2 linked regions of the Macaca fascicularis genome follow. The protein of the gene in region 2 interacts with the protein of the main gene of each other region in a biochemical or structural test. Links are inferred from orthologs where the notes say so. Each region holds a gene or a part of one and is shown on either strand. Other genes may lie near its edges.

Region 1 (3,654 bases), on a different chromosome or scaffold from region 2:
TTGGAATGGCTCACACAGAACATGTATGGTTTTTTTTTCTTCTTCCCCTTTCTCCTTGTTTTTTATTTTTCATATTTTCACCTTCTACTAAGTATTTAATGAGCAATTACAATTTGCTAGTATTGCACCAGTCATTGGAAAGTTTTTTAAAAGTCCCTGTGTTTAAGGAAGTCATTCATCACGGAACAGAGAGAGTTTTAAATGTGGTGACTATTTTATGGAGGAGAAGTACAGGGTGCTTTGGCATCACAAAACGGGCAATGATTTATGGAGGTCAGAGAAATCTTTAGAGAAGAAACAATGTTTAAACTGAGATTTGAAGAAATTCAGTCAAGGAAAAGAGCAGAATGGGGAATGAATTGTCCCAAGAAGGGAGCAATATGTTAAAATGTTTGGAAGTGAGAATTGGACATATTGTAGAGACTTAAAGAAGCTCACTAGTTAGAGCTTTGAATATTGAATGGGACATGACAAGAAAAGAGGATATGGAGAGTTCAAAGCCAAATCATGCAGGATCTCGTCAGCCATGTTAATAAAGAGTTCAGAACTTAGTTTAAGGACAGTGACGAGCCATTGAAGAATTGACATAGGAATGACATGATCAGATTTTCCTTAAGAAAGGCTGTTTTAAATGTAGAAAATGAATTGGAGGAGCAACAAAATTGGAAGTAGGTAGACCTATTAGGATGTTGTTAAAGTTTTCTAGTTAAAATTCTAGAGATGCTTATGGCCTATAATACACTAGGGTAGAGAGAGTGGACACAAGTTGATGGATTTAAGATTTTAAAGAAGTAGAATAGATAGGTCTTAGTGATTAATTGTTAATATTGATTGGATAGGTAACTTGGAGGTGATGAGGCATGATCAGATTCTGGAGGTATTTTGGAATTGGCTGAGGGACTAATGGGCTATGAAAGAGAGGTGATCATCATGACTCCAATTTTGTTTGCTTTCATCCTGATGGATGGAGTTGCCATTTACCAAGACAGAGACAATTAGGTTTGGGAATAGGGGAGACTGGAGATTAGGCATTCCATTTTGCTTGAGATGTCATTTATAAACAGTTGAATTTCCAATGTCTGTGCATTAGGGGAAAGATCTAGCATGGAGATTTATATTTTGGAATTTAATATAGATGGTATTTAAACAACGTCTTGCTCGGTCACCCAGGCTGGCATGCAGTGATGTGATTACGACTCACTGCAGCCTTGACTTCTGGGGCTCAATCAGTCCTCCCACCTCAGCCTCCTGAGTAGCCGGGACTACAGGCACATGCCACCACGCCTGGCTAATGTTTTCTATTTTTCGTAGAGACAGGGTTTTGCCATGTTGCCTAGGCTGAAATTTTAAATATTTCACAGGTAAAATCTTTATTAACATTACAGTTGCTTAAAATTTATTTTCATTTTCTTAGGTACCAGGGACTGCAGAGAATGCCCGGTCATGTATTCGAGCATATTTTTATGATCTACATGAAACTCTGTGTCGTCAAGAAGAAATGGCTCTAAGTGTTGTTGATGCTCATGTTCGTGAAAAATTGATTTGGCTTAGGCAGCAACAAGAAGATATGACTATTTTGTTGTCAGAGGTTTCAGCAGCCTGCCTCCATTGTGAAAAGACTTTGCAGCAGGTAGGTAGTTTAAATGTGGTTAGGGTCTTAGTTGTAAGTTTAAGTAGATAATTACCAGAGGTATACATTAGTGTATTTTATTATTATTTTGTGTCTGCTGTATGCAGTAACTTTGTGCTGAGGACATAGTCTGCAACCTTGAATTATTTCACTAGTGTGGAATTATCAGTGCCCTCTCGTTCATGTGCCCTCCCCATCTTGAGCCATGGGTTCTTGAAGCCTTCTAACTTCTTGCCATTCTTCAGTTAATGCCAAATCCTTTTATTCTTCTTTGCCAAGCATATATGTACTGTTTTTTTTTTTCCTGCTTGGAGTGCATATATCTCTCTTTTCTTATAGTGGAAATCTTCCTTCTCCTTCAAGGTCCAGCTTAAATGTTTGCCTTTCTTTGAAGCTTTCTCTTTGTTGGTCTTTTTTTGAGTGCCCCTCTAGCATGTACTGCCTACCTCTGCTGTAATTCGATGGTTCTTCACTGTTAGAACAAACGTATGTTTTGTGCTGGTTGAGATACCATAAGCAATTTGTTACCCAGTTTGCAGATGACTTACTTTTTTTTTTTTTTTTTTTTTTTTTTTTTGAGACGGAGTCTCACGCTGTTGCCCAGGCTGGAGTGCAGTGGCGCGATCTCGGCTCACTGCAAGCTCCGCCTCCCGGGTTCCCGCCATTCTCCTGCCTCAGCCTCCTGAGTAGCTGGGACTACAGGCGCCCGCCACCGCGCCCGGCTAATTTTTTTTTTTTTTGTATTTTTAGTAGAGACGGGGTTTCACTGTGGTCTCGATCTCCTGACCTTGTGATCCGCCCGCCTCGGCCTCCCAAAGTGCTGGGATTACAGGCTTGAGCCACCGCGCCCGGCCATGACTTACTTTTTAAATAAGTGAGGCTCAAAGTTATTCTGACACAAATGTCAGCCTTACCCATTTGTGTTTTGGATCTGTTTTCCTAAGTGTGAGGTATAAGGATAACTATTGCCCTAGGAATTTCAGAAAAGCTGCAGTCTGTGTTATCTTCACTGATATATTGCTGATAATTGTGTTGATTTCAAATCATTGTAGGCTAAGCCTTTTACCATTGTAGAGCTTTTTCTCTTAAGTATCTGATTACACTTACATGAAAGTGGCCAGTCTATAGCCTCATCAGTCTTGGATTATCATTGAGTCCTTACTACACTGAATTGTAACAGTTGATATGTATGCTATTTATTAAGTTGATTTTCAGCTCCAAACCTACTCTTCTATCCTCTGCTTTGTGATACTAGGGCTAGAACTCTATAGACCTCGTAATTGTGTTGCCAGCTGGACCCATGTTAGGTACTGTCAAAAGGGGGCATAGTTACTCATGTTAGGAGACCACCCTTCCTGGAGGTTTGAGTTTCAGCTCCGTGAGCCCCTCCTGCAAGTTTCTAAGTTTTAATAATTCTAACCTCTTCCTTTTATTCCCTCAGCACTGGAAGTGGTAGCTATATTATTTCATACAATTGCTACCTCCATAATACCTCAGAGTTCCTTTTATCCTTTTAGCTACCTCGTTAATAACCACACCTAGTTAACAGTTTTTATTTTAAGTTCTTTCTATTCAAATAGTGGTGTGATTTGTGTCTTCTGATTTGACCTCGAATGACAATATGCCTGTGTGTTTTAGATGCTGACCTTGTTCATCTTTGATGCATCTTGATGCATCTTGTTCATCTTTGTGTCACTGAATTCTTTGCATCTAGATAGAAGAACTTAATAACTACATGTTTAACTCATGGCGGATAATGAAGCTACACAGCAAAATCAGAGTGGAATCGTGTCCTAAATCATACTAACTTGAATACTTAAAAGTATATTCATATTTATTTTATGAAAAAGTATGTTCATAGTTACTGAAATATTTAAGTGTTTTAGAGTTTCTGAAGTGTTGTGCCAAAATGACTGGTATATTAGTCCATTTTCACACCGCTCCACAGATACTACCCGAGACTGGGTAATTTATAAAGGAAAGGGGCTTAATTTACTCACAGGTTTGCATGGCTGGGGAGGCTT
Region 2 (3,186 bases):
CAATTTCATTTAAAATGTTACGTCCCCTGATGGTAAGTTCAGTACTTCCTAATTTTATCTTTAGCAATTTTAAATCTTTTAAATATTAACATTTCCAAGTCTGAATAGGTAATTGTTTGCTGACCTCTTGTGCTAGCTGGTAGTACTACACTGCCTCAAAGTAAGCTTTAAAATACTTAAAAGCTTTAAAATATTTAAAATCGTAAGTCTCTCTTAAAAACTGAAGTGCAACATAATAGGTACCTAAAGATAATTAAACAACATACTTAGCAAACAATGACTACACCCAAAAAGCTGAACAAAATTTGAAGAGAAGTCTACTTCTGCTTTTTTCTGACCTTTACATCAGGTCCCACAGACATCCTGTCTACCTAAATCACAGAATTTACTATCTATGTAATCGAGTGTCCATGGATGCAGAGCCAGTAATGGGCAAGGACCACAGCAGAACACAAGCCACATGAGCAGGTGTTATTTGGTCTCTTAATTTTTATTTGTGAAATATACCAAAACACAAAGTAAAAATTACCTGTAATTTTACCAGTTTTTTAAAAAAGTGACTTTCAATTACTTCTTGTTGCTGCAACTGTATTTTATCTGGCAGTCTACCTAATCCCCAAAGACTGCGTTTTATTTCTGACTGAATGAGAATCACAGATTGAGTACAAGAGATGGGTGACTTGGGTGAGTACAAGAGCTGGGTGACTTGGGCAATCCCCACCTCTCCTAGAAAGAAAACTGAGGCCTGGAGGTAAGGAATTGAGCAAGACCAAAACATGACAGGGAGCAGAATAGAATCCAAAACTTTGGTAAGAGATTCTGATTCTCTAGTTGTTTGACCCCCTGACCTGTCCTGCCTCCTTTTTTGGGGGTCTCGCTTTGTTGCCCAGACTGGACTCAAACTCTTGAGCTCAAACAGTCCTCCCAAGTAGCCGGACTACAGGTGCACACCACTGCACCTGGCTTGACGCCATTTTTAACTGTTTAAAACCCTTCTCTATGGGCTGGAAAACGGGGGATTAATTCTAGGTTGATGACAATATTACTATAAATAGCGCAATTTTAAGCACCATCAAAACAAAGCACTTACACCTAGAATGGTCTCTGCCAGATAAGGCAAAATCAACCTAAAGAAGTGTTTTGTATATGTTAAAATACTCAGATCTATAGGACATAAGATAAATCTAGGTTTTGTGATTAAAAATTAAATTTAGAAAAACCTCAACAGTTGCTCTCTTGTGGGAATTAGTAAATTTGAGCATACAGGGAGATTTCTTACCTTTGGAGGCTTGAAGGGATATTCTGGTGTAAAAGTGATATCGAGAAAGAATACACCACCCTCATACACGGATCCTGGAGGCCCTAGAATGGTTGATCTCCATTCATAGATGTTATCACCTTTGGGACCAGCACTGTGAATAATACATCAACAAATAAGCAGATGGTGGCACTATCCCAATTTTTACAGTGTACTACAAAGGATGGAAAGATTACCTCTCTCCTCTCGTTTACTGTGTGGATTCTCTTTACAAAACAAGTACAGAAATGGATGCAGAACTGCCACAAACCCATAGCCAGTGGTCAAGTAAGTAAAGTGGATGAGAAAAGAATGTTAAAACCATTCTAAGCCTACCTAGCTACGAAGAAGCAGGAAACTTGCCTCAATTCTCAAACCTCTCCTTGACACGTAGGAAAGTGTAAACAATATTTAAATGAGAAACACATCTCAGCACCTAGAAGCTAAATTAGTGACAAATGACAGCAGTTTCTGCTCAGAGCTACATCATTTATGACCATCTTAAGCACAGAAGTTTCATTTTCTGACCCACTAACTGGTTCTTCCTTGCTCTTGTATCTCTATAATCTCACCTTAAAAAGAATCTAATAGATGGCCATACTTTTTACATTATAAACCATGTTAGGTGGGAGAGGGAGAAGAATGGTAAGTATCCAGTTACAGGTTATTCAATTTTCATTTCAATATGTATTCCGTAATTGGGTTCTCTAAATTTAATACTTAAAGACATTCCTCCAACCCCGTTAGCTGTTACTATAAATCACTGTTACATGGGTGCACCATAATTTGGCCACCATTCTAAAGCATTGTGTTGGCTTCTGGAGTGCCACTGCGCCCAGCAAAACTACTCTTTTAACTAAATATACGATGTGAATTGGATTTATTCACTCATTTACTGAATGCCCATGTACTAGGCAGAGGGTTAAATGTCAGGAGTTTTGATACTGAACAAGACCAACTCCTTCAAGATGCCCTCTGCTAACTGGTTACAAAGTCTGATGCCTCCATTTAAGAGAAAGAAGAGATGAAGACGGAGGGAATAAAAAGCCTACCCATGGGCCTGTACTTGCCCCAAACCCATCCCGTTTTTCTCTTGGTCTGAAATTTGGTGTGAGAGATGCAACAGGTTAGGGGAATGAGCTATTACAAAGGAAAAGCAGAGGAGAATACAAGCTGAGGAAGAAAACATGACATGGCAAAAAAGGTGGGAGAAAGTATGGGCAACCGAATAGCGGGTAATGGGAAGAACAGGGCCCAGACTGGCCAAGAGGCAGAAAGAGCTCGGACACTGTCTACCTCACAGGAATGTTTTCAGAATTAAGTGAGAGAAAGAAGGAAACTATAGAGCAACACACACCCACGAGTATTCTCTCATTAAACAGCAGTGAGATCACCATTATTAATCCTTTAATATCTCTTTGTGATGGGTATTACCAAAAACTATTAAAAACTTGCTTTACTTTTTATTTTTGAAATGGTCTTGATCCACTACCCAGCCTGGAATGCAGTGAGTGGCACGATCTCGGGTCACTGTAGCCTTGACTTCTAGGCTCCAGTGATCCTCCCACCTTAGCCACCTGAGTAGCTGGGACTACAGGCATACAGCACCACACCTGGCTAATGTTTTCTGTTTCATTTGTATAGACTGAGGTCTCACTATGTTGCCCAGGCTGGTCTTGAACTCCTGGGCTCAAGCAATCCTCCTACCTCAGCCTCCCAGAGTGCTGGGATTGTAAGTGTAAGCCACCAAAAAATTTGTTTTAGATTAGATACAGAGAGAGATTTTCTTTCTTTTTTTTTTTTTTAAAGGCGGAGTTTTGCTCTTGTTGCCCAGGCTAGAGTGCAATGGCACGATCTCGGCTCACTGCAACCTCCGCCTCCCGGGTTCA

The links.
Region 1: the proteins of UBE2E1 (region 2) and TRIM23 form a complex in vitro, tested with the Homo sapiens proteins (4 studies listed by BioGRID, with this or other methods). The link is inferred for Macaca fascicularis from reciprocal best matches to the Homo sapiens genes UBE2E1 and TRIM23.

Annotation. Positions count from the first base shown.
Region 1 is NC_088380.1:71,304,945-71,308,598, reverse strand, and holds part of TRIM23 (E3 ubiquitin-protein ligase TRIM23), read left to right. Parts: coding exon 1-23; intron 24-1,414; coding exon 1,415-1,630; intron 1,631-3,654.
Region 2 is NC_088376.1:24,467,653-24,470,838, forward strand, and holds part of UBE2E1 (ubiquitin-conjugating enzyme E2 E1), read right to left. Parts: intron 1,413-3,186; coding exon 1,280-1,412; intron 1-1,279. UniProt on the Homo sapiens protein: Accepts ubiquitin from the E1 complex and catalyzes its covalent attachment to other proteins. Catalyzes the covalent attachment of ISG15 to other proteins. Mediates the selective degradation of short-lived and abnormal proteins.